4 linked regions of the Lytechinus pictus genome follow. The protein of the gene in region 1 purifies or fractionates together with the protein of each later gene. This does not show direct contact. Links are inferred from orthologs where the notes say so. Each region holds a gene or a part of one and is shown in the gene's direction. Other genes may lie near its edges. The genes, in order: replication protein A 14 kDa subunit-like, E3 ubiquitin-protein ligase RFWD3-like, pre-mRNA-processing factor 19-like and DNA topoisomerase 3-alpha-like.

Evidence for each region.
Region 2: the proteins of replication protein A 14 kDa subunit-like (region 1) and E3 ubiquitin-protein ligase RFWD3-like purify together in Homo sapiens (affinity purification with mass spectrometry; 5 studies listed by BioGRID and IntAct, with this or other methods). This does not show direct contact. The link is inferred for Lytechinus pictus from reciprocal best matches to the Homo sapiens genes RPA3 and RFWD3.
Region 3: the proteins of replication protein A 14 kDa subunit-like (region 1) and pre-mRNA-processing factor 19-like purify together in Homo sapiens (affinity purification with western blotting; 3 studies listed by BioGRID, with this or other methods). This does not show direct contact. The link is inferred for Lytechinus pictus from reciprocal best matches to the Homo sapiens genes RPA3 and PRPF19.
Region 4: the proteins of replication protein A 14 kDa subunit-like (region 1) and DNA topoisomerase 3-alpha-like purify together in Homo sapiens (affinity purification with mass spectrometry; 3 studies listed by BioGRID and IntAct, with this or other methods). This does not show direct contact. The link is inferred for Lytechinus pictus from reciprocal best matches to the Homo sapiens genes RPA3 and TOP3A.

What each region holds. Positions count from the first base shown.
Region 1 is NC_087257.1:26,796,172-26,803,874, reverse strand, and holds the start of replication protein A 14 kDa subunit-like, read left to right. Parts: upstream 1-4,699; 5' UTR 4,700-4,803; coding exon 4,804-4,899; intron 4,900-7,703. UniProt on the Homo sapiens protein: As part of the heterotrimeric replication protein A complex (RPA/RP-A), binds and stabilizes single-stranded DNA intermediates that form during DNA replication or upon DNA stress.
Region 2 is NC_087250.1:13,548,775-13,555,669, reverse strand, and holds the start of E3 ubiquitin-protein ligase RFWD3-like, read left to right. Parts: upstream 1-3,890; 5' UTR 3,891-3,976; intron 3,977-6,269; 5' UTR 6,270-6,290; coding exon 6,291-6,407; intron 6,408-6,895. UniProt on the Homo sapiens protein: E3 ubiquitin-protein ligase required for the repair of DNA interstrand cross-links (ICL) in response to DNA damage. Plays a key role in RPA-mediated DNA damage signaling and repair.
Region 3 is NC_087246.1:31,300,832-31,307,988, forward strand, and holds the start of pre-mRNA-processing factor 19-like, read left to right. Parts: upstream 1-4,141; 5' UTR 4,142-4,216; coding exon 4,217-4,235; intron 4,236-7,157. Other genes in the region: uncharacterized protein CG3556-like, read right to left, coding at 322-415. UniProt on the Homo sapiens protein: Ubiquitin-protein ligase which is a core component of several complexes mainly involved pre-mRNA splicing and DNA repair. Required for pre-mRNA splicing as component of the spliceosome.
Region 4 is NC_087254.1:17,256,285-17,264,052, forward strand, and holds the start of DNA topoisomerase 3-alpha-like, read left to right. Parts: upstream 1-4,743; 5' UTR 4,744-4,840; intron 4,841-6,612; 5' UTR 6,613-7,041; coding exon 7,042-7,191; intron 7,192-7,768. UniProt on the Homo sapiens protein: Releases the supercoiling and torsional tension of DNA introduced during the DNA replication and transcription by transiently cleaving and rejoining one strand of the DNA duplex.

The sequences.
Region 1 (7,703 bases):
GCCGCGGGCGAGACAAAAAACGGGGGCCTTGGAGCGGGCGAATTGTAAAAAGGAGGGTCCTCGGAACGGGCTTCGGAACTACAAATGTTTGTGAAAACGGGGGTCCTTGGAACGGGTCGCCTGCGTGCGAGTGCGTATGCATCCCTATGGAACGTGCATGCAGCTAGCCCGGCGGCACGACTGACGGGCGCGCTAGCGCAGAGGCGATGGTCGGACAGCGAGCTGCGGCCGCTTTTCACCAAAATTGCGACCGGAACGGCGTACCGGAAAATATGCGAAGCCCTGGAGCGGATTTGTTTTCTTCTTTTTTCTCGAGAAGAAGAAAATGCTATGCTTTGGAGCGGCTTTCTTTGTTCTTTTTCTCAATAAGACAAAAATGCTATGCCTCGGAACGGAAATTTGAGTGTAAAAATGGGGGTCCCCTCCGCGGCACATACCCACTATGCATTATATACTGAGTGCCCCCCCCCCCCCCCCCCCCCCCCGGGCCTGTAACCTTTCCACCATCGGCTCAAGAACGTGAAAATATAAGTATTAGTTAATAATCACAATTAAGGCTGTGAGTAAAGAATATTAGGCAACTTTCAATTTTGCCTTTAAAATCATATCTTTATGATATGATTGAAATGCATACTTTCTTTTCACTTGCCAAGATTGTCAACATTGAAAGTCTTTAGCCCGTTGCAGAAAGAGATTCAATCAAAAGTCTTTAGCCTGTTGCAGAAAGAGATTTAGTCAAATGCAACTCTAAAAAATCACACACAACTTGGTCTTCATCCATTTAAATGCATGTATGAGGAACTGGTGCTTGATCTTTTTTTATTTGTGTTCAAACCTTTTTTGTGCAACAGGGCCCCAACCTGATGGAGCAATACCTTCATACTTGCTGTAATGTACTGGTTCAATAACATATATTTCATACATGCTAAATGTTCTGACAACCTGAGGGTTGGTAAGAAGCCAGCCTAATATAGCAGCAAGTACTTTATGCAAACTGTATTCTTGATACAGTTTGTGAGTAGTTCTGATGGTTGGATAATTCATCACAAGTCTAGAAAGGAAAAGTTCATATTCCGTCAACTATGTAAGCTTAGTAAAAACCTGTGTTATTGTATTTTTTTTTTGTCGCATGAAAAAAGGTTTAGGATTCGAAATCATTCCTTTGTTTAAAAGTACAAAGAGTGTTGCTTCTTTCAAACCGAAGTAGAAATATGTTCCCTTACAAAATATTTTGGGGCAAAGAAATTCGAAAATTCCCTTTGAAGGGCTCATTTTGGCTGATTTTCCTACTCTTCAATCATCCCTAAGTGGTATTCATAATAATGAGAAGCAGACATGCCTGCTGAAGCAGTGATCACACATTGCTGAATCAAATGGTGGCTGGGCTTTTCCAGAGACTGTTAACTCCATACTCTGATCCTAATCCTCTGAAATAAAGTTAGAAAACCTCTTCTTTTCACTAAAAGTGATCATGAGTTGATAGTGAAGTTTATTCTGTACTTCATAAGATTTGTGTGTGTGTGGATGGAAGATACCTCTTTTGTGGTAAATGCATTTAATGTTTAAAAAAAAAATCATGATGATAGTTAGAAAATGTGTTTGATACAATCATACATTTTCTTGGTTGAAATCTGATCAATTTTTACATATAAACAGAACATGCATTATTATTTTTGTTTTTGCCTTCATAAGGTCTTGAGATATTTTTGGCATATACCGGTAGGTACTATGTTCAGTATAGTCACACTATGATATAGGCTCTGTCCTTTTTTCTAATGTGCAAGAAAATATTTGTTCATGTTTTCTTATGTCAAATGCTTCTAAGTAGTAATTTCATTTATTAGTGATTAAATGTTTGTATTTCATTCTGTAGATCATATGATACAGATAAGTATGAAGTATATTTAGCTACTCAGACTTTTTTCAGTCTATAAATTCTCCAATCATAAAGATATTTAGTAAGTGTGTAAGCTGAATGGTCCTATCTGCTGTCCATGTAGGCATATGGGCTATTCCACGGTTACTCACGTTACATTTGGAGACACCTTGACTCATACTGGGAGCTGTAACTCCATTATTATTGATAGGAACTAAACATCTCTTTATCACAACATAGTACGCAGTCTGTCTATCTTTTGTATAAAAACAAAACTTGGGAAATTTCATTATGCTCCTGGCAAATCTTTGAAATGTGTCGGTTACTCATGTTACATGATTTGGACATGCATAAAATGAAAAGTGGACATAAGTGAAAAGTGTCCTCATGCAAGGCTTTTATGACAGTTGATTATATCCATTTCAAAGAAGTATATTAGGGAGACAAATTTGTATATAATTAAAAAAATAAAGAACACATGGTTTTTACAAGGGCTGCAGATAAAGTGGTTACTCACGTTACGGTTCAGATGGGCTATATGTACAAAGACACATTGAGCTCATGTCCACCAACCTATAGAATTGCCCATATGTGATATGAAAATGAATGCCTGACATTAGGCACTCCAAAAATAAAAATATGTTAGCAACGTGAAAGTCAGATCTGCCCCCCCCCCCCTTGAATGTTACATTTTCTTAGCAAGTTCCAGTCTGTTACATTATGCAATAGCAAACATTCCCATTGGACTCGATGCAAGTACTATCATGATTGTATTCAATGGGTTATAGTATGTTTGTATTCTGTTATTATCTTAATATCAGCATTATTTGTTTTATATTCCTAACAATGTTTATCCATCTGAACAAAATACACAGTCCAAACTGAAAGTGAACTCTAAGCAATCATTGTATGTGTGTATAAGATTTGATACACTATTTTTCAATATTATCCTTATATCTATTACTACTGGATTTGAATTATCCCTTTACACAGTATTACCATTTAAGTGTACTAGTCTTCGGATTAACAACTATTTGTTATCAAACATACATATATGCAGTGGGGCTTATAAAATTCCCGAGGAGTTATTAAAATAGCTTGTAGAATCTGATGTGATATTACTTTTAGTCAACACTTTATATATGAAGCAGTCCTGAAACGGTTGTTGACAATGAGTCTCCTCTTTGCAGATGGTAGTTGGAATAACTAGTATCTGACACTCCTGCATAGCAGTCTTCTTTATTCTATTGCCTTATTTTGTCTTTATTTTGTAGTGTCTTCTGGTAAAAGTTTAATTGATGCATTTGCTTTGATCCAAATTAGATTATAAATAGAAGTCTACCTTATTGTACTTCAAATAAATGTACAATTTTGGAATAACAAACGTGCTGTATTGTCTCTTTTTGTTTTTATTATCAGACAAAACTCATTTTAGTGAACTTTTGGCTATAGTGTATTTATGATAAAATTTCAGCTATGAAAATGTGTCAATTTTCATCACAGTTTGTTTGATTCTAGCTAGTGAAAGGCAAAACAAAACTAATATTCTTTGATTTTCCCCATCTGAAATTATAATGAAATTTAAATTAAAAATAAAAACAATCTGCCAGGGTCTGTAATACTTGGCCAAGATAGTATCCTGGGTTTGCTTTCACGTTTGAAAACATTTAGAGATCTCTCGTCTTATATCACCTACAAACATTTGAATCACTATTAGATGGGAACGAGGGTCAATTAGTCCTAATACCCCATAATGCAGGCAAAAGCAACTTTTTGGTGAGCACTCTTGCTTCAAATTCTCTGAAATTCTTTGAAATTCTAAAAAAAAAATGTTAGTGGAAAATCGGATGAGTTTCAAGGTTGAATGACTATTAAATTGACTTGCGTCAATAAACATTTTGCTTCTAAATCTGGGAATGAACAAAATATTGTATTTTGTAGAATGAAAAAGATATATTGAAGGTTTTTCTACCTAATACCATGGAGCTACTATCTGAATAATAAATCCATGATTATACTTATTATTTGGCCTATTAAAGCAGGAAATTGAAGGGTCCACAAAGGTTTACATAAGTTTTGAAATGATATGCAGGGCCATTCAAAAAAATCTAGAATTGATGCATTCAAATTAATTCAGATAGATGTATTGGACATGCCACAACTTTTCAATCTCCAGGTTTCCTAAGGCCTGGCTAAAAATACTTTATTTAAGTTTTAGTTCTTGTGTGACAGGGAGTCCGCTTGAAGGAATATTGGCCTTTGCTTTGACCCCCCCCCCCCCATTTTTTTTTAAATAGGCGCATTTTCCTCCTTTTGGTTTGATGATTCATTTCTCGTCCTTTCTAGGTGTAAAAGAGAAAGTGTACTTACAACTTGATCTATTAGACCCAATATTAGATTAACTTTATATAATGGCATAAATAGGGGCTAAATCAATACAGACCATTTAGTATATCATAGCCTTAATTTTTACCCCCCCCCCCATTCCATTTATATTAAATTCAGCCTGGGTTTGAATACATGTAATTCTCGATAAAACATAGTTATTAACAATTTAAGCTTAGGCCTATAATATAACCCTGTGGTTTCAGTCGTGCTATTCGATCATGGCACAGAACATCTTTTTCTGACAACAAGAAAAGTCAACCTAGAACGGAGGCAAGATGACATGGTACTATTTGTTTATGCATTTCCTTGGTTTAAGTAGGACAGAAATATATGAAGTTGAAAAGAAAGAAAGAAAAGAACATACATATATGCACCCCCCCCCCCCCCCCCTCCCTTCTTGCGGTCTCGGCCCATTTAGCGAACTTCGGCGGCGGCCGGAAGTGAGTTTGCGCGCGTAATTCATCCACATCGAATTGCGATTAACAAAAAGAAGCAAAACCGACCTTGGCTTACGTGAAGAAACAATTTTTCTTACCAAAATGGATGCTTTCAACCAACCTAAACCAAGAGTTAATGGATCCATGCTTCCAAGGCACCAAGGGAGCATCGTTTGTCTTCTGGGCCAATTGAAAAATGTAAGTTATGTCACTTGTTTTAACGTACTTTTGTAATGAACTTGTAGATATTACACAGAAATTAATGCTCGGGACTAAAGATTAACAATAACAGGGCCAGGGTGACCAGATTACACAAAATGAAATAGATAACGGGACAATCGACAAATTATGATGCACGAGCGGATTGAACGAGCCATGTCTTAATTAAACATTTATAACAACAAAGAAGGCTACACAATGTATACTAAAATTTATAAAGAAAAGGAAGGGAGGTAGGGTGAACAAATTGAAGGAGAAAGAGGAAAGGGATGAATTGAGAGGAAAACAATAAAAAATGGAGGGGAAGATAAAGGAAAAAAGTCAAAAAGAAAATTAAAATTAAAGAAGGATGAAAGAAAGAATAAAATAAAAGGGTTTCTGTCATTGAATCTTTGAAATAAATAGATAAAGGAAGAAAGGAAGGGAAGATGAATGAATGTGTTAAAGAAGAAATAAAGGAGAAAGGAAAAAAAGTAAGAAAAAAGGATGAAGAATTAATGAAAGAAAGATAAATGTTTCCTTCGTTCTTTAAAAGAAAGAAGAAAAACAGGAAGGGAAAGAAAGAATAAATTAAAGGAAAAGAATTAGAAAGAAATAAAGATGATGTAGAATGAAAGAAAGGATGAAAATGGAAGAAAGAATGAAGGGAGCAGAGAATTAAAAAAAAAAGAGAAAATGATGGAAGGAGAGAAAGAACAGGAAAGAAAGAAAGATGGAACAAAAAAGGGCAAGCAGGAAGGATAGAAGGATGAAGAAAGAAGGATAGGCAAGAAAGAAAAATGAAAGAAAGAGGAAAAAAGTTCAAACTTCAAGCAAACAAAAAAATCCAATCTATGATCTAACAAAAATCTTAATGATATTTTTTTTGGGGGGGTTGAATATATGTTAACAATTGTTAACAAACTAAAATGTTTTAGAAATGCAGGGCTCCACACTAACACTTTTTTTCTACTGGTCCAACCTATTCATGTCGGACCAGTAGATACCCAGTTTTTCCATTTTTTACTGGTCCGAACCTAAAATCTACTGGTCCCCAAAATAAAGAAAACATTAAAAAAAGGCGTGAATTTATTTTGCTGTCCTTTCTTGTTACCCCCCCCAAAAAAAAAAAATGAAGGAATGAAAGACAAAAAGAAAGCAAGACAAAAAGAAACAAAGGAAGAAATAATAAAAGAAAGGAAGGAAGAACAAATAAAAGGTAAAGAAAGGATAGATGTGAAGGAAGGAAAAAAGAAAGAAAGAAAGAAAGAACAAAAGAAAAAAAAGGAAAGAAAGAAAAAACAAAAGACAGAAAGTAATGAAAAAAGGAAAGAAGCAATAAAATAAGAAAGAAAGGGTATAAGGAAAGATGGAAAAAAGATAGAAAGAAAGAAAGAAAAGGGTAAAGAAAGGATAAATGTGGAGGAAGGAAAAAAAGAAAGAACTGAAGAAATAAAGGAATGAAGGAAAGAAATGAAGCAAGCAATATAGAAAGAAAGAACAAAAGACAGAAAGAAGGAAAGAAGCAATAAAAAAAGAAAGAAAGGGTAAAAGGAGAGATGGAAAGAAGGAAAAAAGAAAGAAAGTATTGAAAGAAGGAAGAAATAAAGAAAGGTAAAATGATAGATAGAAGGAAAAAAGAATGAAGGAAAGAAGGAAGGAAGCAAGCAAGCAATAGAAAAAAGAAAGAAAATGTAAAATAGATGAAAGTAAGAAAAAAAAGAAAGACCGAAAGACAAAGAAAGGAAGGAATGAGGGAATAAAAGAACGAAGGAAGAAAGGAAAGGAAGCAAGCAGTAAAAAAAAAAAAAAGGTAAAAGGATAGATGGAATGAAGGGAAAAAAGAAAGAACAGAAAGGAAGGAATGAATGAAAGAAAGAGAGAAAGGGCTGAAAGAAGGAAGAAATAAAAAACAAGAAATGGTAAAGAAAGGATGGATGGAATGAAGAAAGAAACAAAGAATGAAGGAAAGAAAGAATAAAAAGAAGGAAAGGAAGAAAGAAAGAAGAGATAAATATAGGATGGATGGACTCAAGAATTAAAGAAAGAAAGAAATCAAAAAAGAAAGAGAAAAAGAAATAGAGAAAAATGTTAAAAGGACAGAAAGAATGAAAGAACGAAAGACAAAGAATAATTAAAAAAGAAAGACAGTAACAAAAAAAATTAAAGAAGAGAGGGAAGAAACAAAGAAAGATTGAAAAGAAAGAAGGAAAGAAAGATAGAAAGAAAACAGAGGAAGAAAGCTAAAACTATCATAAATAAATTATCAGTTTCTTTTTGGCTCAATTAAGATATAGCTACGAAAGAAACCAAGTGTATCAACACACACAAATGCATATGTGGGGCTATCATGTATTCAGACGATATCACTCGAAACCCGATCTCTTTGAACTAAAACAGAAGTGAAAATTTCTCCTTTTACTGCTTACAAATGACAGTTACCCCAATTTTTAGGAAATATGGACATTATAAGAGCTTTTCATTAGTGTGAAATGTGAATTTTGACCGTTCTGTGAGAGATTTCTGCCAGAGGTTTGCCAAGCTTTGCCAAGCTTCGTTCGTGCAGCCAGTAGAAAATTCACCATGTGGGCTGTGTGGCTGGCTAGCCATATGTACACTGTATGTTACCCTAGTAAAAATTGCATGCGATTCATTCTGTGTGTATTCTGTGTGTGAATGACCAAATTTAACGGGAGGAAAATGGTTTGCAATTTGAGTCATGGAATATTTTTTATGTTCATGTTGGACGAGTGAATTTGACCATTTCTGGAAAAGTTACTGGCCCAACAATGGTTTTTATTACT
Region 2 (6,895 bases), on another chromosome or scaffold:
CTGGCCCGAATTCACAAAGGTGGTTTTGAAAACCCACGGTTGAGTCCATGGTTTATGTAGATTTCCTGTATAAATTACGCTCAATTTAGCGCGTATCGGGCGCGTGTATAAAAAATGTCCAATTCCGATGCGCGCTTTTGTCACAGTGCGCCAAATTGACGCCTGTTACCATGGTTAGATACGCTATTTTATTCATGAGTCCACTGTTTGAAGAGTGGACTCATGAATAAAAACAGTGGACTCATGAATAAAATAGCGTATCTAACCATGGTAACAGGCGTCAATTTGGCGCACTGTGACAAAAGCGCGCATCGGAATTGGACATTTTTTATACACGCGCCAGATACGCGCTAAATTAAGCGTAATTTATACAGGAAATCTACATAAACCATGGACTCAACCGTGGGTTTTCAAAACCACCTTTGTGAATTCGGGCCGCTAAGTTCTATTTCATCCTGGATATTTTCCCCTCGAGGCCTATCTGTTTCTAAAACTATATTTCAAAGGAATTGTTTCATTCAATTACAATATTGTGTGAAAAGCTTTGCATTTGTTCAGTAATCATATTTGCATCCGTATGATTTCTTTTGTTCTCTTTTTATTTCCTGTAATACATATATGTACGCATATAAGAATAAGTCTACTATACTTTCTTCATTTCCAAGGGGAATCCACACTTTACAAGCTTTGCTTTTTAGTGGATCCCCTCATTTCCATTTATGCTCTATATTATACTGTTTTTTCTGTGTTTTTTTACGAAGTAAGAATGCCCTTCTGTAAAATTGTACTTGATTTGTATTACTTTATATTACTTTGTATTATGTTTTGAATGGAAATGAAATAAAAGAATTGAATTGAATATAGGCCTACATAGGAAATTTTAGAGAGAAAAAAAAACAAAATGAAGGTCGTATCATGCGTATTATACGACGATCGATATTACCATTACGCTCCGTCAGTATTGTATTCCTTGTATCACGATCATATATACTTGTAATATGATTCATAGTAATCATTATGATGTTCGCCCGGGGGGGGGGGGGTGGCAGTCAAATGTATTGCTGTACACCTGCGTGACCAAATTATTTCCAAACACCTCCTAAACGAGTTTTTTTTCTCTGTGTGCAAGTTAACCCCCTAATCAAGTTTTTCGCGGGATTTTATTTTGGCCCCTAGTTATAAAACAAATTGCCGCGTGGACAGAGAGGTGACAAATTTCATGACCGTTTTCCCGTGTCCCGGGAAGACCGTCACGAACACTTTTCAGAAACGAGGAGGAAAAAGACCCGGGGAAAAGCGGGGGAAAAAGCTTGGGGAAAAACATACCCTAAACACGTTTGGCTAGTCTAAAAAAAAACGTAGCTTTGGAAAATACCTTAAATACGTTTGACGCGATTGATTATTGACAAGTCTTTCAAAACCACCTTTAAAAAAAATCGGTGTTTTTGATACCCGTAACGAGTGCACGCATGGCCCACGTCTAAAACTGAAAAAAACCACCCCTAAATGGTTTTTTTTTGTACAGCAATATATTATGCATAATTATGTTCGACCGCAATTTTTTTTTTATGGGGGGATGAGAACACATGCCACCCCCCACCTGAAGCCTTATAGGGGAGTACTAACCCCATGCACTCCTCGATCGTGATCGATACCCATATGGATGCCCGGGGGGGCCACTTACATTGACGAGTGGATACCATGCGCGACCAAAAAAACACGTAAAAAGGATGTCTTTTTCAAGATAGGGTACGTTACGTACGTAACGTGATAAGGGTGTCAAAAACACAAAAATAATGAAAAAAGGGTATCTATTTCGCTAGGAAAGCTACGTGTTTAAGGTCATATTTGGGGGAATGATAAAACAAAATTAAAATGTTTTATAAAGGATGTCCTTTTTGCCCCAACACTACGTGTTTAGAGTCCGATTTGCGCGAGGTGTGGAAGCTGGGGCCGTACTAAACCAAATGGTGTGTAAACTGTAAAGGTAAAACCGACGACCGATGGACTCGTGACATAACAATCAAATATCGCTGTATACTTGTTTAGGGATTCATTTCAGGGAATACTTGCCAAGAGTATCGTTTTGTTTCCAATACTTGTTAAGGGTAGGGTTTCAGACGCCAATACTTGTTAAGGGGTGCATTTTCAGAATTTGGAAAATACGTGTTTAGTGTGCTTTTCGAGACCCCATGGTCGCGCATGGTATCCACTCGTCAATGGAAGTGGCCCCCCCCCCCCGGGTATGGATGAGTCCCTTAATTATGGAAACACCCAAATATGATTAAGATCACCGTGATAATCATCATTACTACAATTATTATTATTATCACTATAATGATGATCATCATCATCCGTATCGTAATATAATATTAATGTATTATGCATGTTTTACTTAAAAAAGATAAAGCTAAGGATCGACTATAAATTGGCTTCTTATGTGGGTTGCTGATAGGGCAGTCAGCTATAGTAGACAATATAATGGTCCATTTATATAGCGCAGCTATTATAATTGCATATACTGATCTTGATTCTTGGTATATTATGACCCCGGCTGTACAGTAGCTGAGCCGCCACGGGCCTATATAGGCGCTAAAGCATTCAAGTTAGGAATAAATCCTACCGGGTACCCATTCACCTCACCTGGGTCGAGTGCAGCACAATGTGCTGGGTAAATTTCTTGCTAAAGGAAAACACGCCACAGGCTGGGATTCGAACCCACTCGTCAGGCCACACATCCTTATAAGTCGAGTGTCGTAACCACTAGAATACGACGCCCACAGTAGGCCTATTGAAGACTTGTGTAATTCATGATTGTGTAACGTAGGCCTACGTGTTGCTGAGGACTTGTACTGGCAGTTGCATATATTTATAATATTTTTTATGCGTATGGAAGAGAAACATAACACAGTGGAGGCAGCAATAATTTTGAAATTTTTTGAAAACTTAAAAAAATATAACTGAATTAAGCTGAATAAGCATCCTACTCAAGCTGTTTTAAAGTAGGCATACCTCAATACAACATTTTCACTCATAAAATTTTACAAATTTTCTCATCCATGCAGTCACTGTTAGCACAAATCTTTCGAGTCATACAACATTCAAAATTTAGCTGGCGCTTCGTGCACGCAGTGGCGGTGCATTGGTTAATAAAATCTGTTTAATTGGATAACAAAGGGGCTAAAAAGGCCAGTGTTTAAGCGCAATATGCACAAATTATTCTTCATGTGATTCAAGTTTTCATTATTTGTTTTAGTGAGATACGCATCCTGCTTACAAAAAAGTGATAAAAATTAAAAAAATATTTTTAAAAAAACTCTCGCGCTACGCCTCGCATCAATAACTATAGTACCCTTCCTATATAAAAAAGTGATTAAAGTTTCATCATCTGCTTTAATCTTCAAAGGGCTCTGCAGCCTATCTCGAAGATGAAACATCAACAAGGAGGCTGCAGTGATCACTTTTTCCTGTCGGTGACTGGTTATATTGATCGACACTTCCTGAATATATGATCAGCATAATGACCTTGTCTAGAATGTTATATGCTCTCTGACTGACCTTCCCGATATATTTATCATCTCACGATATTCAGCTCGCGCTTCACGCTCGCATTACTTATTTGGGGAGATACCTATAATCTCAATCGGTCAGGTCCCTTTTCAAGTCAGTAGGGACTATGATTTTGAAATTTTAACTCGCGCTTCGCGCTCGATTTTGGGAACATCACAGACAAAAAAAAATCATGTCTGCCTTTGTCCCCCCCTAGTTTAAAATCTCGATGCTGCCACTGACATAACATCTTATGGAAGACTGGGGCCCATTTGTAAAATTACAGGATATTTAGTAAATTATAAAATTCCACTGTGAGTTTCGTTTTGAAAAGTGGAAGCACTGCGCGCGCCCTCTATTATCGAGCGCGCGCCTGATTATGAAATCGCATCTTCTCTGCATCATTTCGTGTTAATTTAGGATTACAGTAAGTTAGATTATTACTATTTTTTTATCTTAAAAAGTGAATACATATGTGAATTAGGCACAGTGTGTTTTTGATACGGAAGTATTTTGAAGCTGGTGTTGAAACATAAAACCAATTTGAAATCTTAATTTTGAATGATGGTCTGATTTTGACTTTGTCTCGGCACTCTGTCTCTGCCAGTGCCCTGCTTCGGCTCTGGCCCGTCTGGCACTGACCTCGCCTTTGGCTTCCTCTCCCAGGCCGGGCCGGGGGCAGTGGCGCTAGCTTAGCGAGCGCTATGCTGGCGCTGGTGCCCCATCGCGGAGCGGAGCTGGAGACGTTCGAGAGCTGGCAGCCGTCTGTTTGGAAGAGTCTTCAATAAAAAAAAAATTAAGCCATTGGAGCTGAGTGCAGTGGAACAATCAACTAGTAAGAGAGACCAAACATGCAGAGGGACAGGGGACAAATGCAATGCTCAAAACTAGCAGTACGGCAGTAGCACTGCCTGGCCTGGAAACGAAAAGTTATACTTTGTCTTTGTCCTTGTTTAAGTTAAACAAGAACTTAGTCTTAGAACTAGAAGGAGCCGTGGGAGTCTGAGTATCAAGACTCCAGAGGCATACGCCCATCGTATGGACCACAGTCATCAGTAGAGGCGCACGGCCAATATTGGAGACTATCTCTAATGAGTAATGTGGCAGATTATCTCCAATATCAGAGACTTTTGTAAAGAATTTTGGTAGGCCTATCCAATTTTTAGAGACAGTCTCCAGTTTTGGAGCACTCCTAGTACCAATGAGGTCCAACATTACATGTATGGACCTCATAGGCGACATCAGTAGTATTTTTGGTTAGAAATCTCTGAGAACAGGATATTTATATTATTATATCACAAGTACAAGCTATATTCCTTTCTCTTATTTAAATTATAATTTTATAGTGTAAATGCATCGTTAGCAAAAAAAAAAAAATGAAAGAAATGAAGGGGAACTTACATTTTCACGGCTTTTTCCTGATTTTCTGGGCAGCTGCTCTTCTCTTCTGACTCGCGATCGAAGCTGATATGAAGATCACGTGATTCGCGTTCTCGTCAGCTGATCGGTTGGTTATTCTTTTCGTCAGACGTTAATAATATATATTTTATAATGCTAGCATTCATCGCTAATTTAGGTGAAAGAGATTGAAGTTAAACAGCGCCAGGTCGGAATCATAATTATTTTGGAAGAGTGTATTTATACACTCGATCTCATACCTGACGTAGACGGCGCTATTCAACAAATGCACAATCTTCAATATAAAAAATAAAACAGAAAGAACGCCTTGAACACAGGCCAAAATGCCTAACGATTTCTCCGCGGCATTAACAACTATCGTAAAGGGCGCTCCATTTATCAATAAAGATGGATGCTAAGCTGTCTATGGCGACAAAATTTGCCGCAAATATTTACGAAGAATTGTGAGAAATGGTCTGAAAATGCAACAAAAGAACCGGTGAGTACCGATTAAACATTATTAAAGTTGTAAATAGATTATACATACCTTGTAGATTTAGTTTTTAAGGTGATATTAGTGCTTAGTTCTAAGCTAGGGAGGCCCAAACGCGCGTGAGTGGAGTCCCAGTTTATTAGCACGGGTAAGTATTGGGGTGTCGCCTAGAGTGTTTTGGAGTCCAATTTCCTTTGTTTACATTTGCTGCAAAAGGATTACCTTGGCGGCAAATAAAAATGTGATAAGCAGATTCTTCATGAAAAATTACCCCTTTTCACCGACACCGTCTACTTTAAAAATTCACTGTCTACTTTTGTTTTGATAAGGATTTTTGTTGTCAATCACACACAAAACAAATGGGCTTCTGACCCCAGTGAGACAAAATTTTGGGTGGAAAAAATCATGCTTTTGTTGGTGTTGTTTCTTTTGTCCTTTTGCAAAGCAAGTCTCCAATGTGGGAGATTGTCTCCCCTATTGGAGAGAGTCTCCCATATTGGCCGTGCGCCTCTACTGGTCATGACAGTGCCAGTGGTGATGCAGTCTTAAACTTAATTTAATTATAAAGCTTATCCAATGTTGCAGATTTAATTGGGTAGATCTAGTACAGAGTAGAGCCCATATGGCCATAACCTTGTTCATTGAATGAGTGCTAGAGCCTAACTTCTAAGACTAAGTTAAAGGAAGCCCCCAAAATAATTGTTTTTTTGCAGAGCTCGAAAGACAAAGGGAATTCCCCATCTTAATGTCGTGCAGAACGAACCAAAGACTTTGTTTCTTGTGCATGTGCATCCGTTTAATTTTACATTTGATCTTCTCTTTAATACAGGTTATGATTGATTGATGACCAATGGATCACGGTGATTCTGATGAAGATGATAATGGTTCGACCATCCTCATCGAAAGTGATCAAGATCTATATGATTCAGATGCTACAGAAATATCACAGGATCATGAACACCATCAGGTTTGCATAACATTTTCAATATTGAAAGAAAAAAAAATATACGGAGAGAGTGAATTAAGAGAGAAAGAGAGAGAGAAGGGGGGGACGCAAAAATGGCACTCCTTGCAAAGCAGGGAAAGAATTACACCGGAGCTGGCCAGTAGGTGATGTGGAGTTGCCCTTGAAATGCTTAAAAGAGAAACTAAAAAAAAAAAACCCATTCATCTGATGAAGCTTATCCAATGTTGCAGATTTTGACATGGAATTCAGTGAAATTTGTTCGCTTGCCAAACATCGTAAACTTTACTATCTTCAAAAATATAAATACTGCCATGACGAATTTCGTATCAAATGAAAGAGCGTATTAAGCTCTTTCACATGATTGGGATGCTGTTGGGATTTAAGTATATTTTAAGTGAAATTTCCTTTGAAGAAAAAAAGTAATATTCATGCCAAATGTATTCTATTATTATATTTTCAAACATTGTTTCATAGAAATATATAAATGT
Region 3 (7,157 bases), on another chromosome or scaffold:
AATATGTTAGGTAGTCAATTGTAATATTTGTATATTTCAATAAATTTTGCCTACTTATCAGGATTAATGTTGTTGTTACTGTCATCATTATTCTATTATCATTATTACTATTACTATTATTATTATCATTATTATCATTATTATTATTTTCATCATTATCATTACCTTTATTTTCATGATCATAATCACGATCCTTGTCATTTCTATGAATTTCCTTTTACATCTTTTCAGTCATTTGTTTCACGATTGACCTGCCATTTGATTACCAATATTAAAGTCAAGCAGTGTCTTAGTAGTTCTCAAAAATTGTAATAAGCTTACCACAAATACTGGACACGTCAGGGTTTGGTAGAACCGATACAAAGCATGGTGTGAACAACCCCAAGAACTGCCACAGAAACTTTAACCTGAACATTTTCTGAAAAAAAAAAAATATTGAATTTCAAATTACTCTGATTCCATGAAGATATAGATCCCAGTGATCATCATTATTTTATGATTTTTATCATGTATTCTACCCTTTTAAGCGCATTCTTCCTGGTCAAAGGTCAATATATATCAATCCTGTAGTTTATCCTAGTTTATAAAAGCCACAGGTATGATTCTCATCATAACAGTAATCAGTATTTAATTCTGATTTCCATGAGAAGATACAAATACAATTCATATAAATAAAGAAACAGAAAAGGAAAGCAAAATTAAATATCAAGTTTACATTAAACAAACACAAAGAAAAGGCCAAAAGAAAACTTGTTGAATCAGACATGCCCAACTAATTGATGACATGTTAAATTATGGTTAATATGAAATGATAGGCTAGTTGTGGCAATTAAGAGAATCGGACAAATACATGCTAGTGGTAAATTAGAAGGAATACTATAAGAAAACTGAAAATAATCAATGAATGAAGTAGTCTAATTAAATACAAAAAATATATCACAACAAATTGACACACATTGGTACAGACAATATATAACTTCTTCTTACTAAGTTCTACTAAATTAGAGGATTATGTATTATGCACACTGCATCATTGGTGTAAACGTTTGTTCTTTTATGTGCACAGGGACCGTGTTCATTGTTAGCTGCCATAGCACCTGAAGCTTCATAGCCCAGAGCAACAAATAGACAAGGTTCTTATAATTAAGAATAGAAATGGTCAAACAAGTGAATTGCAACAATCAACTCCCTGGTAAAAAAAAAACAACAACAAAGAACAAGCAAAGTTTAAAAAAAAACATGAAAAAGGACACCTCTACTCAATGAAAAATGCTATAATACTAATACAGGGCCAATGCCATACTTTTGTCTTGACATGGTCAGTGATAATAGGTAGTCACACTCACAGACACAAAAGTTAACTCTTTCTTTCATTGGCTTGCTTTCTACTAATACAATAGTTCTTTCTGCAATTCTGTTCAAAATCACATACCGAATTCCTTTCCTCAAAAGCTGCTGTGATGTGAGAGTCAAGTCCAAATAAGAGTCCAAGAAATTAGCCTCGTCCTCGACAATGTCAATGATGCAAAGCCAAATGTTGTCTTATTCATTCCTGCCTGGCAGCTCAGATGTGTGCAAGGCAGCGACCCCACAACGACTCAGTCTCAGGCAGGCCAGTACCGCGACAGAATTGCAGAAGAATAAGCTGAACAGCTGATATTATCGTGATCAGAGATCATTTGCATACAATACATGCTCCCTTATCCTTATCCTTATCCTGTAGTGGTATACTGATTAGTTCGGGCCACCTCGCCTCCGGCTACATCCACCGCGCGCGGCGTCCGGAGTGTTTGGAAGATGGGGAATTCCCTCGTACTTTCTCTGAAGCGTGACGTCACGGTCTGTCGGGAAAAGGGGGGGGGGGGTGCTCTTAGTTCGTACGTGTGTGGGATGTGCGGTGCGATTATTTTTTTCCTCTCCATTTTCTGTGTCATATTTCTTTACTTCTTTCAGTGAATTGGAAAAATGAATTGATCAATAGAATCGATTTATAAATTTATGAAGTGCCTATAGTATAGGCCTATGTTTTATCGATTTGATTTTGTATTAGCCTTATGAAGTATGATGTAGGCCTATTACTTATGAAGTTATGAAATCTATGCAGTCAGTTTGTTTGTATTGACTTGAAAAAACAATAAAAAATACTTTAAAGAATAAGTGAAATACTGCCCCTGCATGAAATTTCAGTAAAGCTTCATCTTGTGCCCTCAGTGAACTCATCGATTGAAAAATCTTTGGTCTAATAATCTACTGTATGTGTGGTTTTTTTTTTACTATACATTTATGATAATATGCACAGGTTCGTTCAATGTTTAAAATGAAGACGTTTTACAGAAGATTATTGGCGATAGGCAGCCAATGTGATAACAATGTTTAATGAAATAATATTATAAGGGACAGAACTTGGTTATTTCCCACCCATTTTCCGCATTGATGTATCAAACTAAACCGAACTTCTTTGAAATGTACTTTTCTTTTTTAATCTTAAATACTATCCGTCAAGTGATTTTGGTATATTCATTTTTTACTCACCCAAGCATGAATTAGCTAGGTTATTGAACGAGGAGACTTGAGCTTTGTCTCCTGCATTTTTCACTGAATTATCAATATATCTCGCTTACATACTTTTTTGCTGCTGTTTTTTGTGGGAAACTTTGTATGACTACACCTTCACTGGTAATGCTACATATCAACTAGTCCGAAATAGTGATAATTTCCTGTAATATATTCTAACGTCCATTTTGGTCTAATGTCCGAATTTTATCAAACATCAAATTACTCTGTCAATATTTATTTAGTGTCTTAAAATGTAAGTGGGTATCGGGCGTTTTTCAGCCACAATACATTCATGAGTTTGGCTAATGTACATGCAATTTTCAGGTATAGGCCTATGCATGGCTCGTAATTATGATAGGCCTTATTTTCCTATATTATGCCAAAGTACAAATTGAATACTTATTTTCTCTGCTCAAAATTTGTTGCTTTCTTCCGAATTGCTCTAGACAACAGCACTTGTAATAATCATTCTTTCATTATATATCTACTCCAGCCCCACCCCGGGCAAAAATAAATAAATGAATAAATAAATAAATGAGGAAAAAATGAACCTAAAAACATGCAGAAAACAGACAAACTCGATAGAGCCAAATGTCATCTGTCATTTTTGGCAATTTTTTAGTTTTTTTTACAAGTATATATTTCAATATTAAATAAAAACACAAATGTAGCTTGGCAATATCCCCAAAGTTAAAAACGTGACACTTTCTTAATTGTGAAATGTGAATGATATCGTACGAAAAAGAGGAAGCTGTTGTTCTCACAAAAAAATCAAACTGGTTCACCATGCATGTAACGGGCAAGTAAGAAACCGAAATTTAACTTATCCAACGTGTGTAATGAAGCATTTTTTCTCTATTCCTTAAAAAGCTGTGTGCGCTATGAATGCCTAGCTTAGCCGGGTAATGAGCGCCTTCAGCACCTAACAAGGTGATGATGTGCGCAATATAAATACCATATATTATTATTATTATTCTTCACTTCTTCATGCATGCTTCTATTTATTTCTTTTTGTTTTCTTCATCTACTAATGTTGTTGTTATTGATATTTTTCCCTCTCTATAATGAACCGAACGATTTTATTGTTTTTACTTTTTTCCCTCCAATTATCTCTTCTTTTCTGTCTCCTCTTCTCCTTAACTGATTTCTCCATCTTTCTTTCCCTTTTCCCTCTTTTTTATTGCCGCCGCTAATGGGGGGGGGGGGGGGGGGGGGGGCTATTTTGCCCTTGGACCCGTCTATGATTCCTTTATATAGCTACTTCTTTTTCTTTTCATCGTGAAATTCTTATTCTGCAGTGTGCCCCCTTTCATCAGTCCCGTGATCATGTGCCCAAGTGTCTTGTTTTAATTTTAATTTTTTAATTGTTAATTTTAATAATTAATTAATTTTTCAAATAAAAGTTTCTTTTTTCTAGTTTGTTCTAAGTTTTTTTCCTTTCTAGAGGGGCAGCGGACCGAGGGGAGGGGCAGGAGGAAACATAGGGGAAAATGAAACAAGGACAGGAATCGTTATTTATTCACTCCTTCACTCGGATAAATAGCAATGACATTTTCTTTTGATTGTGGTTTTCTCTTTTTTTTTCTATATTTATTATATAGAGTAGACCGCCATCTCGCAATGACATTTAGATAGTGGCTAGGCGCTCACGCTTTGCAACATGGCGTTAGTTTGTTCAAGTAAGCAAGTATTTCATTCAATTATTTCACCGTCATCATGCCAATTCCGTAGATTTTTTCGAGGATTCTTTTGGATTGATTTATTAGATTTGTATGATAATAATGATGTTATACGGTTTGCTTTGAATGGGAAATTGTAGGGAATGCGATGTTTCGGATTCTTGTGGCGTAGTTTTGATTTCGGTCCCATCAATGCTTTTCAGCGTATGGTCGTGTTGATGTTTAGGCGCCAATGCAGTTTCGCACCGGCCGACTTCGTCTTCGAGATAATTTCCCCACCAGTAATTGTTCGAAAATATCATAGCAGCCAGGTCTCTCAATCACATTTCAACTTCAAGATCAATACATCCAGCGCTTTTCCGGTTGGGCGCTAGTGTAGTTTCGCACCTCCCCATTTAATGGTTTTCAAACATGTACAAAACTACAATCTCACCCTAAATTATAAATAATTCACAACCTAAAAATTTGCATCTGAGCCTCCAAAGTCCAGTAGAAGTTGAATATTTGCCGTTTTGACACTTTTTTACAAAGTTTTACACCTATTTCGGAATCACTCGGTCGCTTGATCAAGCTCAGCGCTGCACATAAGCAGTCGGTACGCGTACAGTACGTACCACCTAGTGAAGTGTGTGTGTGTATTTGAGTTTTGTCAGACGTGTATCAATCAGATATGATTATTTACGTCTGGGACCGACCTTTAACGTCACCATCCGAAAGACGTGACCAGGGCTCGAACCTCTGCATCAAATTGTAACTTCCCCGCATAGCTTGGATTACAGGCGCACGCCACAACTTCTTCTTCTTCTTCTTATGTTTGTTTGAGTGGCGATTAGTCATATTTGACTATTGTCGCCATTGACATTATTAATAAAAAATCTCACTTCTCACATAATAATATTATTACCAATATGATGTATACATATATAAAATATTTTTTTTGTATCCTTCTGATATGAAAGAGGATAATTATGATATGTACAAAAGTTTGCAGTAACTCTTGTCAAAATGGCATATAAACAAAACTTCACCAAAAACAAACCGCTATCTTCAGCTCAGTTCCAACTAGTTGCGCTTGCCCTGCCCTTTCAAAGATGCAATCATACCGGTCAGCACGGTACATTGTGCCGATTTTTCGGACATAAATGCCTAGGTCACCCATGCATAGACGAGGGGGCGCTAGTGTACCTGTGCTTACAGATGGGTTAAACATTAAAATCATTTTTTTTTTTTTTTTTTTTTTTAAACAACACCAACAACAACAAGGCGAAAACACTTGTGGGCTTTGTTAGTTATATGTGCAGAACATATCATTTTGTATATATTATATCATACATTATTATGTATATATATATATATATTCTTCTTTTCACATTAGACTTGTACAAGCATATCCATTCATATTTCTTATAGACAATACAATATTAAAATAGTACATCACTCCTTACTAAAACGTTTCGTTCTTGAAACGAAACGTAAAAATGCTTTCTGTATCCCTGGGTCATCTTTTTTTAAATACTCCATTATTTGTCCTGGCTGTGATTCATTCAATTCTACAAGGAGCATTGATCTTTCAATTATATATTTTGGACAATGTAAAAGATAATGTCTGACAGTTTCTAGCTCAGGACATCTATCACAAAACCCTGTTGGATGGATCCCTAATCTTAGTAGATCTTGGTTAAGACCAGCGACTCCAAAACGGAGACGATGGAGTACAGTTTCCTGTCTTCCTAGATTACATTTATATGTGGATAGCACTGATGGTTGCAATTCTTTCAGTGCTGAGTTAGTTTTATTCCATCTTTCTTGCCAAATTATCTTACAACTTTTTGAAATAAGTTGCATAATTTCTGATAATGTTATTTGATTATGAATTTCTATTTTGTTTGATAAAGCTTTTTTTGCGCAGGAGTCTGCTATTTCATTTCCTTTTATTCCACAGTGACCAGGGATCCACTCCAGGTATACCTCTATACCTTTATATTTGAGTCTTGTACTAATAGTTAGAATTTCTGTAATGATAGGATCGTCTTTCCGATTCTGTAAAGATAAAAGTGCACTTAATGAATCACTGAAAATAACAACACCTGTATATATATCTAAATATTCTATCCATTCCAGTGCGAGAACAATCGCAATTAATTCAGCCCTATAGGAGGACGTGAAATTCGATAGTCTTTTGCCTTGGTAACAGGAAAAATAAGGTACATAAAAAGCAGCTGAGCAACGCCCAGTTGTGCAAGAAGAGCGAGTTTTTCTATGGTATCTTCAAAAAGATTTTTTCCCCTCTTTCAGCTTGCACCAAGTATTACGGTAGTGGTTGTGCAGAGTGGTTGATGTTTGTTGTGTGAAGGTATGTGTGTGGGGTGTGCGTGTGTGTGATTTTTTGAATGAAATGTGAAAAATGTGAATACACGTAGATTTAGCGATGAAATAAGAAATAATAATGTAGAGCCTTGTTTTGAACTCTAGGTCAGCTCAGAGAACTTTCCTTCAGTTTACACTCTGCACAACCACTACCGTAATACTTGGTGCAAGCTGAAAGAGGGGGAAAAAATCTTTTTGAAGATACCATAGAAAAACTCGCTTTGGATTGATGGATTACTGTACAAACTCACTCAATGTGGTATAGGAGGAAATATGTTACATTTTTTAGAAAATTATCTAACAGAACGTACCTTTCAGGTAAGAGTTACAAATACTGAATCCAGAACATTCCAAGTCCATAGCGGACTCCCCCAGGGGAGTGTTCTGAGTCCCCTTTTATATAATGTCATGATGAGAGATATTCCAATTGATCCTGAAGTGACAATATCCATATATGCTGATGATTGTGCAGTATGGTTTTCTGGAAAAAATGTAGAGAATATTAGATTAAGGATACAAACTTATCTAGATGTATTATGTACCTGGCTTAAAGAC
Region 4 (7,768 bases), on another chromosome or scaffold:
CAAGTATTACTGAACACCCTGCCTGAGTTTCATGTCACATGACCAAGGTCAAAGGTCATTTAGGGTCAATGAACTTAGACCATGTTGGGGGAATCAACATCAAAATCTTAACCTAAGGTTAAGTTTTTGAAATGTCATCATAACTTAGAAAATATATGGACCTAGTTCATGAAACTTATACATAAGGTTAATCAAGTATCACTGAACATCCTGCATGAGTTTCACATCACATGACCAAGGTCAAAGGTCATTTAGGGTCAATGAACTTTGGCCGAATTGGGGGTATCTGTTGAATTACCATCATAACTTTGAAAGTTTATGGATATGATTCATGAAACTTGAACATAATAGTAATCAAGTATTACTGAACATCCTGTGCAAGTTTCAGGTCACATGATCAAGGTCAAAGGTCATTTAGGGTCAATGAACTTTGGCCAAATTGGGGTATTTGTTGAATTACAGCCATAAATTTGAAAGTGTGTTGGTCTAGTTCATAAAACTTGGACATAATCAGGGGCGGAAATCTCTCCCAAAAGGTAGGGGGGACATAGGGGCGGATCCAGCCTGCGCCAATAGAGGGGGGGGGGGGAATTTGTTTCAGCCATATTTTCCCCGATCGGCAGCACGAAGATGATTTTTGTTTGTTTCTTTGAAGGGGTAGTCCTCATGAGTCACTTCTTAGCTTTATTCTTATAAATTAATATATAATATCATAATCCTTATTTATATGATGCGAGCGCGAAGCGCGAGCTATTTTTTTTGGAAATTTTATGTATTTTTTCCTAAAATTTGAACTGATTCTGGGCAATGTTTGTTATCCTGAAAAAGATGTGTATGCAACTAAATAATTACTACGAACGCAACGCGCGAGCAGAATGAACTGATGGAAAAGATACCTGTTAAAGTAGCATTTGTCAATCAAATAATGCGAGCGCGAAGCGCAAGCTGAATTTTTTTTGACATTTTCACCTAAAGAATGGAAATTCTAAGCACTTTTTGTAATTCAAGCAGAATAGGTATATAAGTAAACAATTAATGCGAGCACGAAGCGCAAGCGGAAAAGTTTGACATTTAGTCCTATAATAGTTTTGTAAATCCTGAAAAGGATGAGTATTAATAATGCGAGTGCAAAGCGCGAGCAGAAAATTTTTATATACGTTTTGAACTGGTACCTGTTGAAAAGGTACCTGTGAAGGACTGCTTGCACTTAGCCATGAAGGCGTTACATATTCCAACAATAAAAAAATGCGAGCGCGAAACGCGAGCTGAAATTTTTTTGAACTTTCTAAAGAAAGAATGGAAAATTTTAATCAGTTTTTGTAATCGTGAACAGGATAACTATATAATTTAACGATTGATGCGAGTGCGAAGCGCGAGCAGAATTTTCTTCGAGATTTAGACCTAAAAATGGGCCACTCTGTTCATGTTTTGTAAATCATCAAAAGTATGAGTAATATGGAGTCTTTCTACATTAATAATGCGAGTACAAAGCGCGAGCAGAAAAAAATTGATATTGTGATCTGAAACTGGATAATGATTTAAATTAGAGAACAAGTTGAGTATCTGAATAAACTTGCGCGAGCGTGTTTCATATTTAGACCTAGAATCTAGGCATTCTAAATACAACTTTAATCATGAAAATCATGAAACTTTGATATTCCGATCTGAAAAAGAGTCAATTTCAGCTTTATATTTGAAGCACTTTGTAGAAAAATTGTAAGGTAGATATGGATCGCACTAAAAAAAGAGCTGATATTATTATTACTTTGAGTTTTGACATAGGACCGGGACATCCTTACGACATGTCATCATATGAAAATGATGACTATCTTCCTATTCCTCTTGCTAAGCGCGAGATGAAAGAAAAGGGACAATTTAATTATTAAATTAATATCATATTTATTAATGCCTAATGAAGGCGCGAAATCTGATGATATCATGGCATAAAAACTGGACATTTCACTTTTTTTTATTATGAATAGGATGCATCAGTTAATATATTTTTAACCATTAATGCGAGCGCAAATCGCGAGCTAAAATTTTTGATAAACTGTCATGAAAGGGGGATTTTAAGCAGTTTGTTGTATAATCAATATTGAAACATTTATATAACTCGCCAATCAAAATGCGAGCGTACAGCGCGCTAGCTGATACGTCTTGACAATCAGACCTGAAAAGGGATATTTTGACAACTTTATGGAATACACGAAAATAATAGGTACCTGATAAATCAAAATTTGCGAGCGCGCAGCGCAAGCAGCAAATGTTAACATTCTGACCATAAAACTGACATTTTTACAGAGCACTTTTTAAAAACCAATTTGTAAATTACACAAATTAATGAAAGTTCGATTTCCGAGGTGAAATATGTTTTGTATGTTGACTTCCAAACTTGATATTCGAACTCCATATTGAACAAGATATGTAAATCACCTAACAGGCAATGCGAGCGCGAAGCGCGAGCGAAAATTTTATATAGTGGCACGAAAGATTATTTTTGTTTTCCAAGTCTTCCCCTCATCTTATGTTATGCACTCGTAGTCCTTCTTTTCTTTTTCTCCTCTCTTTTCCCTCCTTTTTTCCTTCTTTCTTTCCCTTTTTTTTTGCTCCGCCAAGAGGGGGGGGGGGGGGGGGCGGGCCCCTCGGCCCCCTAGATCCGCCTATGGGGACAAGGGGCGGGACAATTTGACAAGCAAAAAAAAGGTTATCATCGCCAAAGTAAGGTCATCTCTTCCCAAAATACATGTTTTATTTTTATTTAGAATAATGTATTTCTTACCATGATAAAAGACCAAAAAATAGTAGGGGGGACATTTGATATTGTGTCCCCCCTAATATTTTGAGTAGGGGGGACACGTCCCCCCTGTCCCCCCTGGGATTTCCGCCCATGGACATAATAGTAATCAAGTATCACTGAACATCCTGTGCGAGTTTCAGGTCACATGATCAAGGTCAAAGGTCATGTAAGGTCAAATAACTTTGGCCACGTTGGGGGTATTTGTTGAATTGCCATCATATATATCTCTATAAGTGTATTGGTCTAGTTCATAAAACGTGGAAATAAGAGTAACCAAGTATCACTGAACATCTTGTGCGAGTTATAGTAGTTTTCAAAATCAGCACTGCTGCTATATTGAATCGCGTGATGCAGGTGAGACGGCCAGAGGCATTCCACTTGTTTATTTTGGTTATTCCATTTTACTTGGGTCATTTCATTTCTTTTACTTTTTATTTTTGTTATACGGGCTATTCCTTTTTAGTTGGGTTTTTCCATTATTTAGATCATTATTTTAGTCCCTTTTATTTGGGTTATTCCATTTTATTTGGGTTATTCCATTTTCCTTTTACTATTTATTTTTGTTATCGGGGCTATTCCATTTTAGTTGGGTTATTCCATTATTTTAAATCATTATTTACGTCGTTTTTACTTGGGTTATTCCATTTTATTTGGGTTATTCCATTTTCTTTTTACTATTTTTTTTTGTTTTCAGGGCTATTCCATTTTAGTTGGGTTATTCCATTATTTAAATCATTATTTTAGTCCTTTTTTATTTGGGTTATTTCATTTACTTGGGTTATACCAATTTCTTCTTACTATTGATTTGTACTTGTCTTTTTACTATTCATTTTTGTTATCTGGGCTATTCCATTTTAGTTGGGTTATTCCATTATTTAATCATTATTTACGTCGTTTTTACTTGGGTTATTCCATTTTATTTGGGTTATTCCATTTTCTTTTTACTATTTATTTTTGTTTTCTGGGCTATTCCATTTTAGTTGGGTTATTCCATTATTTAAATCATTATTTTAGTCCTTTTTTATTTGGGTTATTCCATTATTCTAGTCCTTTCTTATTTTGGTTATTCCATTTTATTTGGGTTATTCAATTTTCTTTTTATTATTTATTTTTGTTATCTGGGCTATTCCATTTTAGTTGGGGTTTTTCATTATATAAATCATTCCATTTTATTTGGGTTGATCTATTTTCTTTACTATTTGTTTTTGTTATCTGGGCTATTCCATTTTAGTTGGGTTATTCCATTATTTAAATCATTTTGGTACTTTTTTATTTAGGTTATTCCATTATTTAAATCATTATTTTAGGCCTTTTTTATTTGGGTTATATTCCATTATTTTAGTCCTTTTTTTTATTTGGGCTATTCCATTGTACTATATCTGACTTCACTTTTGGTTAAACTCATAATTTCTATAAAAATTTAGGTATCATAGTAAAATATTACATTCGTTCATGTACAAATTGATGAAGTTACAGAACTATAGCTCCTGCGCACTTCAGTTTTTTAGCTTAACTTATGAATAATTCATGTACCATAGCACCCCTAGCGTTTCCATGTAGGCCTATACGGAAAAAATAATCGCATCTCGGCCGCCACCCCCACCACAATTAGTAATAATAACAAACATAATAATTATAATAATAGAAAGAACAACAACAATAATAATAATAATAATGAAGATGATAATAATAAGCAATAATTATATATATTTTTAAATCTTTAAAAATATATAGCCACAGGGTGTTGCAAATTGGCACAAAACAACCTTCAGTATATTACCGGTAGTGTAAATTATAATTTACACTAATAATGATTAATATGTAAAATAAGTTAATCAAAAGTGTTCAATATATATAATACAGTTTTTGTATTATTATCTATTTTTTAAATCTACTTTATTTATCAAAAACATCAATAATTTCAGATTAGAGGTATTATTTTGAGTAATCATGAAATAGTAAATGGCGGCTTAATCAAATGGTGAAGACTACGGTACCGAAGACTACACTGCAGCTCTCGCTCGGTCTCATACGGAGATACCGGTAATGTTTGATTGGGTTTTAACACTTTTGCCATCAATTTATCAGTTATTCAAGATGTTATTACAATGGTATTTAAAGAGGATTAGTCTACCTAAGTCACGTCAAGACGTCTCGTAGGCAGCTAAGTTGAATTGAATCCGACCATCGCATCGCGCGTTACTATCTGCGGCGGCCGGCGCCGGTGTACCGGTACCTACGCGTCGAACGTCCGTAGCCGGGCGAGCTAGGCGTGGGCCGTACTCCGGCTCGGCAGCCCGTACACAAAGTGGCGACTTCCCCGGGGCTAGTGTAGTCTGCTGTGCAAACCCTTAATTCACTCGAGAATACGTATGGACTATGGTAGGGTGTCCTAAAGCAACGCCACACTCATCGCGCATGCAGTTTTCAATGGCAAATGAGTCTGTGTGTGGTCACTGTGGAACTGTGACTGCAGTGCTGCAGTGCAGAGCCAGAGACAGAGTCAGAGAGTGACGAACAATTCCTACAACTACAAGTACAGACTACAGGTCAGGTGTATTCATTTTTTTTCAACAGAGCCAGTGCCCAGAGGCTGCAATAAATCTCTAACAAGTTAAATGCAGAGAAAACCAACAACTGTTTGGAATTTCGGAGTTATATTCGCTTTATTTCATAATCATATATCCTCAGATCCTATAATAATGTGAACATATTTTAGAAATTGAAGCACCCCCACAGGAAATACTAATTTTTTGCATGATAAATCGAGTGCGTTGCTTTAGGACCCCGGTTCTACATCAGGCGGCGAAATCAAGTCCGTCCATTAACTTTTCCTTGTAAGTGCAATAACTTAAGTTAGGCTCATATAATTTGGTGTGTATGATGCTAGCATGGTCATGGATCCAAGGAAGCCTATTGATTTTGAGGTCAAAAGGTCAAGATCACAGTGACATACTTTCATCTTACCCTTCTGAAGTCCTTGTAAATGTGATAACTTTAGTTTAACTTAACCTAGGCTCATATAATTTGAATGTGTATGATACTAGCTAGCATAGATCCCAGGAATTCTATTGAGTTTGAGGTCAGAAGGTCAAAGGTGAGGTCGCCACCTTCCACTTTTCTTGCTTGACCAATAACTCAATTTTCCGCGTTGCAGGCGGGCATATTATGTGCTGGCCTTAGCGTTACTCTTGTTGTTCCTACTAGACCTTCAGTGCCAGTGGCCGTTGATGTAATATTGTTATAGTAGGACTTTTCCACACCCCAATGATCTAGGTATCCCATATCCTTTTTGTTCGGCCCTCTCATTCACAGTGGGCCTGTAACAAGGTTGATGAGCTGCTAGTTACTATTTTTGATGTCGGGAAAGATCAAGAAAGAGCACGGCCATGATGAGATGTATGGTGATAACACTCTAGCTATTTGTAAATACCTTGGGAGATAAGAAAAGATAAAAGATGAGAATATTTTCAGAATACAACTTATCTCATTCATGCATAATTATTTTCTTATCTTTTAGCATGCTCGGGTATTAGATCTACATGAGCAAGTATACTTACCACTGGTTGAAAATCCAGAAAAGATAGGGAAAAGAATAACGTGTCCTTCGTAGGAATTGATTGCCATTTGTATTGAATTTATTACCAACATTTTTTTTTTTTTTAAACTTATCAACTATTAACTTGGTTTCATAGTTGGTTATTGAGAATACATGAAGCTCTCCATATAGATGACACTTCTTGACCTGGAAGTTCTGAAGAATGTCCATGGTGTTCCTTTTACCCAATGTCCTTTTCCTCTTACGATATGTGCAGGAATTCTGATGTCTGGACATGTTTGTATGGAATATGCAATGGATTTCTATTTCTCCAAAGTATTTACCTTGATTTACCTTGATGTTGGGCATAAAGTATAGGAGACTTATTTGCCCCTCTGCATCTTCTTAGAACTTGTCCTCAGTTATATGGCAAGATCAAAGTCCTTCCGTCAACAAATCTTGTGCATCCGCAAGCAACTTAGTCTGTTATGGAACCTGTATCGCTTTTAATTTGTCAGGATTCGTGGTACAGTGATCTGTGAAGGCAATACATTTCCAGTATTTTACTTCTACAAATTGCATTGGAATGCATAGAAGACAAATGAAATGATAAATTCCACCACCGAACAGTCCGCGTGAGCTGGGGTACATTGTAGTTGGCAGAATTATTTGGGTTATACCTGGACATTTAAGGATTTCCCATCCAATGTTAATTTGGACGAATTGCTTGAGGATATCTTTGTGCACCTACCTCACTATGGCACGGGGACATGCAACCAAGGTTCTGAATGTAGCTGAGAAGAATGATGCTGCCAAGTCAATTGCTGATGTCATGTCTAGGGGCAGATACAATAGGGTAAGTTTACAAAATCTTCTTTTTTTTTTTTTACTTTTACAACAATTGATGAATCAAATGGATTAGATTTTTTTATTTCCTGATAAGTTTCAATGATTTCAATCTAAGCCAAATATTTATGAATTGCCAATAGCAAAATGTACTTTATCAAAGGTATTTGGCCTAAATTAGTTGCATACATGTAAATGTTATTCTAATGGTAATTATACCATAATGGTAACTTCATCATTAAGGGTAAATTTCATGGAATCCTTAATTCACTGATTGTCTTTTGAGCATTGTTACCATGGAACATATAGTTACCATCAGATGGCTAAACAGAAAACATTGAGAAGTGAAAAAAAAAATTGTTTCGACATTTAAAAATCTGCTTATGAGGAAAATTCTTTTAATGACCAGCCAGAGTTAATTGATGAAATTAACTTCATGAATTGAATTTTTCATCTTTTGTGGATATTTCTATTCAGATGAAATCAATTTTCATGGTATTTTTCATAAATCTGTCAATACATACATACAATAAAAGCACACATTTTTAATTTCTCTTTCACAATGTTCTTGGATTAATCATTTTTTA